Linked DNA regions of Struthio camelus. The protein of the gene in region 1 purifies or fractionates together with the protein of each later gene. This does not show direct contact. Links are inferred from orthologs where the notes say so. Each region holds a gene or a part of one and is shown on either strand. Other genes may lie near its edges.

Region 1 (7,411 bases):
GAAATATGCAAAATTGAAACTAGTTTCAATAGCGTAAGATAACAGAAAAATGTTTATTTTTCAGGAAGTAATGAAATCGCTTTAGTGTTGCAGTTAAGCAGGCCTTGCAGCAGGAGTGTTTTCATCTAAGGCTCTAGCCTAGGTAGAGGTCATATACTTACAAGTTAATAATAAGGACCCGCATAAAATAAAACCAGGAAAATTCACTTGGACATAGACTTCTGTGCACTGCTTTCCAGAGCTCTCTCAGGTTTGCCCAGTTACCCTGCCTTGATTGTATTGTGCTTTTTTTTTTTCTCCCCTCCAGTGCCTATGCTCACTTAAGCAAGTCAGAATAGTAGGTGAAAAATCACTTACCCTTGCAAAACTCTCCTGCGTAACATTAAGCATTACAAAAATTTCGCATGCGTTATTGCAGGAGACGTAATTGGTTTGACTGAATCTTGAACGCCTCGCGTGGCCGTTCTCTGCTCTCGAAGCTGATGCCAAGCGTAAGGCGGGCAAAGTGCAGGATAGCCCTACCCTGAGGGCTGGGTTAGGCCAGAGTGCCGTTCTGCTTCGCGGGGTAAAGAAAGAGCAACAAGCCAAGATTCGAGTTTAGGCTCTTCTAGCCTAAGGATTTAAGTAGTTTTCCAGCGTCTCAGCCAACCTCTGCGCTGTTGCAAGAGAGAGCCAAGCCCAACTCTGCTGATTGGAAAGCTTGGCTTGTAGGCTGACAGTTGCATGGATTTGCTTGCGCTTTGGGCTTCTCTGTATGTTTTCCAAATGCAAGCCAGCAGACAACGCGAACCTCCAAGAGGTAGCTTGTGCTACAGTTTGAGGTGCTGGCTGAGCCGTAGGTGACGGAAGTGTGCTGAAACAGGGCAAAAACAGGCTCTGATGAACCGAGTTGTTGCAGACGGCCGCTTTAACAGTGTTGCGGGTGGGGAAAGAAACAGAAAGGCTAAGTAAAATTGCTTTTAGAAGTGTGGGATTACTGTCTTTTTCCAGCAAAACATCGGACAGACAGATATCTAGCTGGGTTTCTAAAATGAGGATCTTTTGTCTCCCTGTTAAACGTGTGCTTGATCTCAACCCAAAGCTTTATTACTATGGAATTTCCCAAGCGTCTCAGCCAACAGTAGACAGCGAACTCTATTTTATTCTGTTCTTGGTTTCAACTGTCACACTAGAAAAGATGATTGCCCGTGTAGAAGTAGGCTTTCACCTTATAAAAATCCGTCTTTAGTTCAGTACTCACTTGTGAAACAGTTTAAATCATGATCATGATGAATGCACTGGATTTGCTTTGATGATTGGGCTCCTAGAGAACTAATAGGTAAAGCAGAAAGGGTGAAGGGCATCCCTGTGCCCTACTGTGACTAGGCCACTCTATAGGAGTACTGTAGATGAACAAAATGTACAAATCCCACGATCTTGCTGAAGGGAAAAAAAAAAAAGTCTTTATTTTACATGTGTAGGAGACTGTTTTCACCATAATTTGTTATTATGCAAATCCTTAATTTTGATAGGGAATTATCGGTGTCACTGTGTGGAACTAATGACATGCAGAAAAAGGAGAACTGCTTATATGAGTTTCTCTGCTGTATATAGACTTCTAAAGTAAAACAAAGACAATAGAGAGGACAATCCCAAATCTGCTTTATGCCTCTCGCTGTTAAAAGCAGTCAGACCCAGGAAATACCTGCTCTGAATTGCTTCAGTAATATGATGCACCAGCACTTAAGTCATTTAGACTTATGGCAGGTTTGCATAACAGTAGTGCACTGGTTTCTACGGGGAAAAATAACAATGGTTTATCACACACTTTGTCAGCAGCTAGCACAGGTTTTGACGTTCTCCCACCCTGCTCACAAGTTCAGATAAATATTGCAGTGATCTTCTTCCCCCAGCCCGCCCCAAAGCCTACATTCCTGCATTCCCTTTAAGCAGTTTCACACACTGTAAAAAAGGCATTTTTCTTTCCCTCCAGAAAAGGGAATGTGGTGGAACCGCACAGTCGCAAGAGCTATCGAAGAGAATATCCCAGGGAATCAACTCTAGTCGTGTGTTTGCAGCCTGGAAACATCTTTACGGGACATGGGCAGTTCCTACCAAAGCAGGCTTTCATACACAGACTAAGCATGATGAAAAAGTTGCACACACGACAACTTAAGCAAACTCAGTATCTCACAAGTATTTTATTAGGTCTCCTCTTATTGCTACTCTCAGCTGAACTGCTGAGAGAACAAAATACTCCAACACAAATTCACTTTCGACAAGCCTTTAGCAACTTTGCTGATCACAAACAGTAGCAATGACCAAGCAATTTGCTAACAGGAAAGAAACCTTTCTTTGCAGTATGTTTACCTCTTCTTGCATGCATCACTAAACGCTGTCTCTAACCTGCTGCCTTACCTAAGAGAAAAGATAATTTACTCCATCACCTGTAAGTTTTCTTCTGTTTGGTTGGGTTTTTTTTTTTTAATTTTCAGAGTAAACATCTGAGGGAAGGGCCTGAAAATCTGTAGTTGTTCTTTCCTCTCTCACTTCACCATTCTGTACGTTGTAGTACAATTTATGACTGAGCTGGCTAGTAGGAAATTTAGAGTTGCCTCTCACTACATGTCGGGGGAGTCTTTACATTTGTAGCTGAAATAAGCTTTATCATGCAATACAATTCACTCCCAAAGAGACTTAAATAGTTCTCCTCTACTGAACTTTGGTTTTTCTCAGGTGTTTTATGTCTTTCAGCGTAGAAACGCGCAGAAAACTCTTAAGATTGTTTTGACTTCTCTATGTAATACACTCCCCTGCAAACCTGCTATGCCATCCACAACAGTTGGCTCCAAGGGGTTTTGAAAGAGTGGTGACTCTTGGAGCTTCAGAGTGACACTTTTTTTAGTTGTTTATGTTGTTAATGGTTTTTTTTTTCTCCAACCATGAGGACTGCTTAGGATGGTAACGGTGCCAGTTGGGGAAGGTGGGAAAGCTTGAGCGATGTCATTTCCTCCGACACATTATTATAGTCTCTTTAGGCAACTTGTATTTTACCACGGCTTTGGCAGACCCTTTTCAGTCAAAAAAACGAAATGAAGAATAAAATCATGGTGCATATGACTTTAGTGGGGCAGGCGTGGGGCTGCAGACTGACTTGATGAGCATCATGAATTTTCAGCTGCACCCTTCAATCCTAGCCCTTTGCCCTCTGGGGTTGCTGTGCCTCTGTAAGGTGAGCAAGGCAAGCGGGAGCTCTCTTTTTTTTTTTGAAAGGAGGGGGCGGCTGTATCCCCACGGCCAGCGACGGGAGTGGGGGGCCCTCAGGCCGCCCTACAACGGCCGCCTGTGGGAGCCGGGTTTCCCCCCGCCGCTGACCGTAAGATGCAGCGGGCGCAGGGGTGCGGGGCAGGCCGCGGCCCGCGCCGCGTCGCCCATGGCAACGCCGCCACCGGAAGAGCCGCGGCGCCCTTTGACCTCAGCGCCAGGAACTGCCCCTTCCCCTCCTTCCCCCCCCCCCCACCGCGCCGCGGAGCGCACGCACCGCCATTACCGCGAGACGCGGCGCGAGGCGGGGAGGGGAAGCGGGGGGAGGGGCGGCGCGGCGCTCTCGCGAGACTTGGCCTTACCTCCCGGCTGCGGGAGCGCCGGCCCCGAGCGGGATTGGTGAAGGCGCGGCTGCCCCCCCCACCATTCGCCTCCCCCCCCCCACGCTTCGCCGCCGGCCCCCGCGCATGCGCGCCGCGCTGCCGGGCCGTGTCCCCGGTGTGTGTATGCGTGTGTCAGCCGCAGGCAGCGCGGAGGCCGCGCGAGCGCTCCCGGCGGCCGGTGACGCGGGACCGGGCCCCTGGGCCCCGCCGGGCAGGGTAAGGGGATTGGGGACGAGCGGAGGGCCCCGCGTCGCCTCGGACGCCCCGCCACCAGGCGGCCTGACACGGCCTGACCCCGCCGCCCGGCCAGGGCCAGGCTGTGGGAGGAGGAGAAGGAGGAGGAGGCGGCGGCGGCCCCGCGGCCCGCACCCGGCGGCCGCCCCCCCCCTCCCTTCCCCGCGCGGCGGCGGCGCCGCCCGGCGCACGACGAGGCAGCCGCGGCCCGGCATGGAGTGAGCAGGCCGCCGCCAGCAGACACTTCCGTATTGCGGGAGGCCACGCCAAGCTCCCGCCGTCCGGCCCCCTCGGCGCCGCGCCGCCGCCGCCGCCGCGTCCCCGGCCGGTCCCCGCCCGCCGCCCCGGCCCGAGCGCGACCTCCTTATGAGGCGGCGCGGCCCCATGTGAGGCGGCGCCGGGCGGGCGGGCGGGCTGCGAGGCGGGCCGGGCCGGGCCCCGGCGGAGCGAGCGAGGGGAGCGAGCGAGAGAGACCCCGCGGCCGGCGGGGGCCCGGTGTGTCTGCGCCGCGCCGTGTCTCCATGGCGCCGGCATCGCCCTGAAGGAGGCGGCGGCGGCGGCGGCGGATTCCCTAGGCCGCGTCCTCGTCCTCGGCCTTGAGTGATCTCGATGCCGAGCACCTCGGACGCGGCGGCTGGCGGGAGCGGGGGAAGCCGGGGCTGGGCGAGCGGCGGCGGCGGGAGCAGCAGCAGCTCGGCGGTGGAGGCGGCGGCCGACAAGAAGCGGCTGCATCACCGGAGACGGAAGCGCTTCGCGGCCCAGCCGCAGCCTCCCCCCCCGCCGCCGGCCCCTCACCCGCTGCTCTTCCCGCTCCTGCAGCCGCCCCTCCTGCAGCCCCCGCTCCTGCAGCCGCCGCTGCCGCCGCAGTCCCTGCTCTTCCTGGCGGCCACCGGCGCCTCCTCCTGCTGCGGGGACGGGGGGGAGCAGCGGAAGCGGCCGCGGGGCAAGCGGCGCTCGGGCTCCCGGCACAAGCGGCGGCGGGGCCGCGGGGGCGGCGGCGGCGGGACCCAGGAGGCGGAGAAGCGGCGCGGTAGCGGGGGGCTGAGCACCCTGGTGGAGGAGTACGACGACGTGAGCTCCCAGTCCGAAGGGCTGGTGGGCAGCGGCGCGGCCGGCACCGGCGGCGCGGGCAGCGGCGGGGGGAGCCCGGCCTCCTCCTCGGGCGGCGGTGGCGGCGGCGGGAGCCAGCGCCAGCGGGGCGAGTCGGAGAGGAGCAGCCGCTCCCGCCGGGAGCACCGCGGCAGCAGCGGCCGCTCCAAGGAGCGGCACCGCGAGCACCGCCGGCGCGGGGAGGAGAAGCCGCAGCAGGAGGGGGCGGCGGGCCGCGGCGCAGCCGAGGCCTCCTCGTCCTCCTCCAAGTCCCGCAGCCGCCACAACCACACCGGGGGCCAGGACCGGGAGGGACTCAAGAGCAGCAGTAGCGGCGGCGGCGGCAGCGACGGCCGCAGGAAAGGCTCCCTCGCCTCCCCCGGCAGCGGCAGGAAAGAGCGGGAGAGCAAAGCGCACCGGAGCCGGACTAAAGCGGCCAAGGAGCCGCCCTCGGCCTACAAGGACCCGCCGAAGGCCTACCGAGACGACAAGCCCGAGCCCAAGGCCTACCGGCGGCAGCGCTCCTCGCCCAGCCCCGGCCGGGACGACAGCCCGCCGCTGCACCGCTCCTCGCAGAGCCAGCGGAGCCGCAAGTCGCTCAGCCCCGTGGGCGGCCGCTCGCCTCTCAGCCCCTACAGCCGCCGCCGCTCCCCCAGCTACAGCCGGCACAGCTCCTATGAGCGCGGCGGGGATGTGTCGCCCAGCCCCTACAGCAGCTGGCGCCGGTCGCGGAGCCCCTACAGCCCTGTCATCCGGTGAGTGCGGGGCGCGGGAGCGGGCGGGGGGCTCGGCGGGGAGAGGAGGGGAGGGGGGAGCCCCAGGCCGGGCCAGAGGAGAGACTTGCAGGGAGCAACAAAAGCCCTCCCTCTTGCCCTCTCGCTGCCAGAGAGCTTGGGCGGGGGAAGGGGCCGGGACACATACAAAGGTCTTCCTGTCCTGCCTGGAGAGAAGGGGAGACACAAGGCTCTTCTGCAGCTATTTCTATCTCTTAGAGACTATGTAGCTTGAAGAAAATGCTTTTAAAAGCATTAAACAATAAGAGAACGTTTTCAGATGAGACCGCTGCCTTGAATGGAAAGCGACTCTAGGAGGGCAAGGTTTTTGAAGGACCGGTGTTGTTTTTTTTAATTTTTCTTTATAAAATGTGGAGATTCCCAGGTACGTTCTTACATATACTGTGGAAAAGGATGCGTGCTGAATACTTTTGTGCTTGGTTTAATCCCCTCCAATCTAAAGAGGAACCAAACTGAGAAGCAATTCACGTTACTAGTGTTTCTTGTTCTTCAGAGGTCTATAGACAGGTTTAGACTTTGTTTCGCCAGGAAAAGGAGCTAATGTCAAGTTTTGTTAAATTGCCTTTGTGCTTTACGCTACCTATAAAAACATAACAATCTCTTTTCTCGGTAAAGACTACTATAACATATACTGTGTCCATGTTGTATTTGACGTGCCCTTGCAAAGAGTTTTATTACTGTTAATGGGAACTCAGAATGTAAAGTTCAGCATTGCTGTGACTTGTTTAGGTTGTATAGAGAGAAAACAAATAACGTGGACTCTGTCTCTATAATCAGACACAAACAGTGGTGCAGAATTAAAGCACTTTATTTTAAACTTTAAATTCTCAGTGATTTTACTGCTTTTGGTCAATATGTGTTCTTGACGGGAGACTTTTATTTCCCCTATTGGAATCTTACTGTTGCCATGTTGTTTACAGGCTTACTTGTAAACTTAAAGTGAACTTAGATTTGAAATGTATAAGGTGCTTTGTCATTCCCCTGGCAAGAATTTGTTTAAAAGGTATTACCTGGTAGATTGTATGAGAGCTGTTGTCTGGTGTTTCTAATTTTGTATCAGTTACCATTTGGGGTGTCACGCAGCGTATCCAGTGAGAATGCTGAAGCTGTTTCTGTGTTTCACTGACGGTCAGTAAGGTCTGCTGTTCTGGGTGTGCATCAAACGCTGTTGAAAGAGAGAAGTATCAAAACTGCGTCCTACTTTGTTCAGAGGGATAGAACAAAGGTGCCTTTGCAAAAGACCGTGATTGTTTTGAGGTACGCTTGTATGGAATAATTTTGTAAACAATAAGGTGTTTCAAGCAGAAAATACTGTGAGTGCCCCGAAAAAGAGCGGTTTTTTGTTGCTGTTCCATGAGAGCCTGTTACAAGTAGCCAAGGATCCTTTTTTCAAGATGATTTGAATAGCAGAATAGCAGGAATGTTACGGGAATATTCTGACAAAATAGTCTGATTTCCAGGATGTTTTCATTAGATCCTTTTGTCTTGGAATAGGTATGATAACGACGACGAGCCAAACTGTGGCGTGTGAAGTTTGCACTCAAGAATAGCCATGTTAGTCAGACTGATGGTCCAGTTGTTCTGGGATCCTGCCTTGAACAGTGGCTAATAGTGCTGTAGTAGAAGGTGCAGGGGATTTTGTAGTGGACAGCTACAGAACAAAGTGCA
Region 2 (7,335 bases), on another chromosome or scaffold:
CCACACCACCACCCACTCTTGAGTGCTTCACTGGGGCAGGAAACAGAGTGCACCTTGGTTACCATTTATTCCCCTGCAGCCCTTCCCCATAATTCATATCCTCTTAAATTATCATCAATATAGGCACGCTGAGTGAGATCCAGCACATGGGAAGTACTGGACCTATGATGCAGGTTCCTTGGAAGAGGAAACCCACAGAAGATATCCTGTTTCCACTCTGCTAAAATAACAGTACATGAAGACTTGGGCACTAGTGTTATAAAGCATTAAAAATTTTCAAAGGAAGATTCTGCTATTTCTATTAGCTGCTTATTAAGACATACATGCAATGTTTGCACTGAAAGAGTTTTAATTTTTTGGGGAGTTGCATATTTCCATCGCTATCATACCCTACAATGTATTTGCTCTCATGCCCTACATATTATATAACATATAATATACATATAAAAATGTATGTGTATATATAATTTATAAAATATATTTTTAAAAAAATCTAGAAATTGACCTACATGCAAAAGAACCAAAGTGCTAGCACAAGAGCCCCAGAGATGCACTCTCCTTTCAGGCGCAGGTTGCTGGCACTCTAGCAGAAACAACTGCAAAGCAGCTAATTATAGCTGGTACATTTACAGTCCATCTTCAGTTACAAAGACAGTTTTGGCCTACATTAACACATTGGCTGAAAGCCATGGTAGTTCAAGCACAGTCATTCAGTCACTTCCAGCAGAGGTCCTTCAGAAATATTGAGAAGACATCAGAGAGTAAAACATAACAGGAAGTAGATACTAATCTGTCATCCCATGCATTTGACAGGGTTTAACAGCCTTGGGCTCAAAAATCCTTCTGAAATGTAGAAGAATCAAATTAGAAGTTCCATTTTCTTTTTTATTAGGACATCAGCAGCTAGAGGCTCAGAAACTCACCTTCCACCTTAACAGTGTATCACCTAGACCTGGCCAACTTTGAGGCATCTAAACACCTGTTCCCACGTATTCACTGGAGATAAAACTGAACTCAAAGTCACTCACATCTCAACACGCTTCAAAGAAAGACAACATGGAATTTTTCCTGCATCTGACAGATACTCTGCTCTAACCTGCATAACAGATCCCAGAAATGAAAACAAGATTTTAGTGCTACCTCTTCAGCATTCCAAAGAGTAAGGTACAGAAAAGTTAGCAGCAGAACTGCTGAACAGCATAGGAAAAGGGGTAAAGGACAGACAGGAACAGAACAACTGGAATAGTCAGTTGGTGGAAGAGATGTAGGGAAGAGCCAATGTAGGACAGAGGAGCTAAAAACAGAAAAAGGGAGCAAAGAAGGTTATGGCAGAGGAAGGGCAAGAGCAAGAACGTAAAGCAATGTAAAAATACTCGAGCACTAAACTTGTTTTTAATTACTACAATATAAGCTTCTTCACAGACTAAAACAGACAACACTAATGGGGCACTTTTACGGTAATATCAAAAACTCCTGCTGTGCTTTATTTATAGATTTGACTGGTCCTTTCACATAGTTTACACTTCATTTTTGCCTAAGATATTTTTAAACCTCTGAAATCAGATCTAGGAAGCTGAAGTACCTCTAAACTTAGTTGACAAAGGACAGTCAGAACTAAGTTCAGAATCCCGTTTACTGTACCATCAGTAAACAGAAGCTGTACCATCATAGGTTCACTAATATTATCGCAAGTCTAAAGCATCTGGAAAAAAGGTAAGTTAGCACTACTGCTGTACGCGCTGCACGCAACTACTCCGAAAAGAGCAAACTGTATTAAACCATTTCGATTTTAGGTGAAAGAAAAAATATATCATAAAAATATTACTATGATAAACAGCCAAGCCATAGAGTAATATCAAAAATAGTTACTAAAATTAGCTCAATGTTTATTTGATCCACTTATAAATTCCACCTATTTTACCAAATTCAGCTAGTTATCGGGAAGCAACTTCCAAAGACATTGAGTCTTATAATTAGAATCAAAGAACACTGTCTTGACAATACTTTGACCTGGCATGCTCAAAACACTCTTAAAACTACTAGAAAAGTAGGAAATGCGATCACTAGAGAGTCCGACATTATTTCTTTCACTTCTCTTGAACCTGATTAAATACTAAAACCAGAACTGCCTCAAATTAAGTATAAACTTCTGGTAAGAAACTCTTATATGGTAAATAACACAAAATGCTAAAGGGGTAAAGAAGAGTGGCAATATATAAGGCATCCAAAGACATGCTTTTGTATGTCAAACACTCTCACTTACCAGCTTGCTAATCCTGAACTGATTAATACCTAAAAATATGAGTTTTTTTCCCCGTTGTTCCACTGAAGCTTACTGTCTTCAGCAGGAGGAATGCTTCTTACTGTAAACACTTCCCTGAAGATCAGCGAAAGAGAGTTTATTAGCTGCCACACAGGCAACAGTTCAGGCTCTCTCTCTCAACGATTAATAACCTTTCCACATCCCTTATGAACCAGCTCCTTAGACATCTCTTTGACCAGAAGAGTAAAAATATTTACTCTGTACGAAAAAAAAAAAGCTGAAAACAATAAATAGACAGGCTAAACTCCCACTACTTTGCCATCCTACTCTTGTCATTTCATTTTTTACTTGAGTTTAGCTCTTTCTGAAGACTCCCACATAGTTTTTTCCAAATTCCTTTCTTTAAAGTAAAAAGAATGAAAACTGATGCACTCTCTTTTTATTCATATATTTTTAAATATAGTCTTCACTTATAAAATATTAATCTCACTTTATAAATCTAAAACTCACAACTGAGAATCAAGCAAGTCACCCTGGTTCAGACATCAGGGCACAGACAGAACTTGCAAAACAGCCCAGGCCTCCAAAAAGACTTGTTGCTTAACACACCGGCATCATATGTCCTACCTTACTTTACCAAGTGCTGAACATTATGATGTTTTGGTAGCAAAAATACAGATCCCCTGAGATCTCTAATACCCTCAGACTGTCTCTTTCTTTTAAAGAATCACCACCAAAACACTCATCTTCTGCAAAATACCCAATACATCAGTTGCACTGTATGAGCAGTATCATTATGGTGAAATATTATACCTAAGTTCATTGCATTAATTACAATAAAAATGTCACGAAGACGTTCACTTTTCTATACAGAGGGACATAATGGGTTTTATTTTTAAAGTATGTACAATATCACAACTAGAAGCCTATTTAAAAATTTAGATCCAACTTCGGCATATAGCTCAGACCATCCCTAACTGGAAACAGCAATATACAGATTACAAATTATTTCAGGGCTTAAGCTTCTCCCTCCCTTGCCAAGACCCTAGATCTATCTGTACGGGTGCCATGACAAGGATGTATTTTTCAGATTTTATTTCAACACATACTTCAATCCAGCTAGCTAAACATAACTGAAACCTCCATTAAAGTGAAAGCTAGCATGCTTGAATCTTTACCATATTAAATAACCTAACTGAGCACAAATATCTGAAAATACCGTCCTCTTTTGGCCCATCATGCTATTCTCTCTAACAACTTCTACACCTGCTTACTATTTTATACATAAACAAGATATCAGACATGTAGAACGCTACAGCCTCTTACTCATGTACAGTAGTTTCAAAATGCTTTATTTTGAACTGCCACTCTAACGTAGAGGTTAGGAAATTGTTCAGAACTAGAGACACATGCAAAATACAGCCTCAACTTAAGCAACTCTATACAAGTCCTGCTCCGAGTAGGAAAGGAAGATGAGGAACAGTTTCAATACAAGTTCTGTTTCAGCAACTTCTGTAGTAATATGGAGAGGTTGCAAAACCCAGGCTGTTGCAGGAGTAATTCCCACTCAGATAAGCAGTTTGAATCATATTTGGCCTAAATGTAAAACGTTTATTCTAATTTTAAGTCACTTTTTTTCCTATTAGGTTTAGCCCCTTTATAAAAGCAAGTTCCAGATTGCGTGAGAAAAAGAAACAAAATAGAGTGCTCTTTCACTGCCATGGAAAGGCACTAAAGAATCGCATACCAGCAGAACTGTTACTGAGCCAGATCCTGAGAACTGGAGGTATGGGAGGCTTTGGAAAGCTAGAGAAGTAGGAGTAGCGAGTATTCAAAATGTGTCACATGTAAAAAAAGGAATTACATCATGGAGAAAGCAGTTTTAAGCCATTTGTTTAACTCCGCTTTCTTATCAACGCCTGGGGGATGGGACAAGGGAAACGAGCATTAAGAAGTGAATGCCACTGCCTCAACTCACTCTGAAATCACGCCGCTCGGGTTTAAACAAAACCCACCCACGTCGGAGCAGAAGAGCAAACAGGCAGTGGGCCGCGGAGAGCACGCCAATCTCCGCTGGCAAGTAAGTGGGAGAGAGAAACAGGATGACGAGTGGGAGCCGCGAGGCGGAGCGGCGTCACCCCGCTCCCCGCGGCGGGCGGCACGGAGGCTGCCTCGCCCCCGACGGGCGGGCCGGCCGGCCGGCCGGTGCTGCCCCGCGAGCGAGGGGGGGGCGCGGCGCGTGGGCGCGCGGCGGCTAACGGCCGGCTAACGGCCGCCCGCGAGGGCGCGAGTGGGCGCCCAGCCTGCCCGCCACGGCGAGGCGGGGGCTGCCACGGAGCCGAGCGCGCGGGGCAGGGGGGAAACGCCGCGGGGAGAGCGCCTGGGGACAGCGCCGTGACGGGAGCGAAGGGGGCGGCGAGGCCTGGGCCGGCGCTGCGCGCCCCGCGGCGGGGAGGAGGGTGTCCGGAAAGAGTTGCGCGTCCCACAGGAAGGGGAAGCGGCGGGGCGGGCGGCGGGGCGAGGTTCCTCCGGGGGCCGAGGGAAGGCGCCGCTCCCCGCCGGGAGGGGGTCCGGGCCGGGGGCAACGGGATTGGGGCGGGGGGGAGTTGGTGGCCAGCGCTGGCCTCCCACTCAGCGGGCGGGGGGGCGCCGGGCGGGGCCCCGCCTTACCTCCCGCCCGGCGGCGGCTGTGCCTCGCCCGCTGCGAGCGGCGCCGAAGCCGAGCTCCTCTCACCGGACACCGCTGCCGGGGGCGGGCGGCGGCGGCCGAGCTAGCCCGAGCCCCGCACTCCCAGCGCCCGGCCCCGCCCGCGGCCCCGCCCCGCCCTCCGCCGCCGCCATTGGCCCAGCCGGGCCGACAAGGAAGACCCCGCCCCCTCCGAGGCCCGTAGCGGCCAATCCCCAGCGACCACCCCTTCGCCTTCGCTACCGGTCTTGGAAAAGGGCATGGCTGCTTCCCTCCCATTGGCTGCAGTTTAATCCGTGCCTCCGGCTTCTTACTGGCTGGCTCGGCTTGCAATCTTCTCGCTCCTGCTTTCTGATTGGTCATTCTAAGGCTACGGGAGCGCGTCGCGTGCCTCCTCCTCGAGCTTCGCAGACGCTGAAGGAGACGGGATTGGCTGCGGGGGCTGCTGGCTCTCATTGGCCGTTAGACGGCAGCGGCTCGGCGCTTGCGCGCTATGCCCTCGTGACGTCGGCGTGATGACGCAGAGAGCGGCCTGGCCTGGTTCCCAAGATGGCGGCGCGCAGGGAGCGGAGGCCGCGCTGTCGTTAGTGGCTCTGCGCTCCTGTGGGGTTTCCTCTCCTGTGCGTGGCCTGTGAGTGCGTTACGGGGCGCGGGGGGGGGGGCACCGGGGCGGCCCGCCTTCTCCGCGCCGTGGCCTGGGGGGCCTGGCTGGGGAGGAAGAGAAAGCAACGGGGAGGCTGCAGTGTCTGGCCGGGACAGGGAGCGAGCGCCCGCCCGGGCTCCGGAGGCCTCGTCTGCGGCGGGAGGAGCACCGGGGGGGCCGGGAGGAGCTGCCCCCACCCGGCCTGGGGGCTGCCGAGGCTGGGCGCTGTCAACTAGTTTGTTCAGAGAAGAAGAACAGAACAAAAAAAAAACTGAATCTTCTCTCTAAAGTCTTTTCACCTTTACGAGGTGGTAAAGAAAAATCTCAGGCCCCGTGTTATTTTGCTTTTGATTATTGTGGTCTTAATTGGAGAGTTTGAGGTGATTGCTTGGAATTCGCCTTTAGGGGTTTTAATATTTTGCCTGTTTGTTTTTTACAGATTTTCATTTGGGGATGGTTTTAGTGCTCATAAAAGCAGCTCTCTCGTTGCTTTTCAGAAAGGGAGTTTTAATGTTAGTTGAGCTTTAAACTACTTAGAACTTTAAGCATCAAAACGAACTTTGAAGAAAATGGTCTCCAAAACTTGCGGAAATAATACTTGATAATGGCAATGGGAGCGCGTGGTGATGCCACTGAACTGTTTTGCTGACTCTAGAAATGCTTTCAAGTAGCTATTCACTTATTTGTGACAGAGGTTGGGTTGATCTGTCACTAGTAAGACAGTGGAGGGTCTCCATATGTGAATACGGAGCAAAGGTGGTTTCCTTTGTTCTGAAAAAGAGAAACTTTCTGAAGGTAGAGAAAGGTATTTATTGTAGGCATAGGTATTCTGACTGTTCATGTAGTTTTCTTTTACTTTTGCGAGGGAAACATTTGGAAAATTAAGCTTAGCTTAATTTTAACAGCTTTACATTTGAGTCTTTCTTGGATTGTTATGCTTAGAGCAGTAAATTATATCGTCTGTTAATTAACATTCCCTACAGGAACCTTTGCAGGTGACTACAGTAGTTTGTGAGTAGTATCTCTAGTTTATTGAATTGCAGTAAAATAGTCTTATCCCTGTTTTCTAGTCTGAAAGAGATAAAGGTGCGAAGACAGTCTTCATTCTCTCTTTTAAGTGAGACATACGTGAACATCGGTCATAACCTAAATGCCAACAAGTTATCTGTGGAGCTGTATGCTGTCAATATAGATTTGTGATGTACAAGTCAGCACAGGAAAATAACATACTAATTGAGTGTAATCAGTTGCCTCATTTTGGAGGTGGTTTTAGATGGCACAGTACCATACAGACTCACATTACTGGTCTTGATCTTTATTTTTTTTCCTTTTTTTTCTTTAAATAACATACACACACAATTTACAAAGCTTTATGCCGAATTATTGCCACCATCTTACCACCCAGATATATCCAAGAGATCAACTATGTGTTTAAATTGCCATTCAGCCGGACCTAATGGATGGGTTTCTTAGTTATTGAACAATGGTCTGAATTAAAATTTTATTTTTTTACCACTTCAAATCTTGCTGTTACCATCATTGAATTGTTTTTCCTTATTTTGTGGACAAAGTAAGTGAAATTTGTACTGCTAAAAATAAGTGTTTTTAATAGTGTACTTTTGAATTTCTTTATTAAAGGGTTACTATCAAAGATGACCTTTGTTCTTTGAATTGAATTCCCAATATATGGGGGAGATAAGGGAGAGGTTAAGTATGACTTGTCTTTGAGAAGGGATAAAAAAG

The links.
Region 2: the proteins of CDK13 (region 1) and CCNK purify together in Homo sapiens (affinity purification with mass spectrometry; 4 studies listed by BioGRID and IntAct, counting the BioPlex papers as one, with this or other methods). This does not show direct contact. The link is inferred for Struthio camelus from reciprocal best matches to the Homo sapiens genes CDK13 and CCNK.

What each region holds. Positions count from the first base shown.
Region 1 is NC_090943.1:58,322,989-58,330,399, forward strand, and holds the start of CDK13 (cyclin-dependent kinase 13), read left to right. Parts: upstream 1-4,316; 5' UTR 4,317-4,469; coding exon 4,470-5,704; intron 5,705-7,411. UniProt on the Homo sapiens protein: Cyclin-dependent kinase which displays CTD kinase activity and is required for RNA splicing.
Region 2 is NC_090946.1:69,598,509-69,605,843, forward strand, and holds the start of CCNK (cyclin-K), read left to right. Parts: upstream 1-4,229; 5' UTR 4,230-4,343; intron 4,344-4,933; exon of another isoform or gene 4,934-5,081; intron 5,082-5,318; 5' UTR 5,319-5,580; intron 5,581-7,335. UniProt on the Homo sapiens protein: Regulatory subunit of cyclin-dependent kinases that mediates activation of target kinases.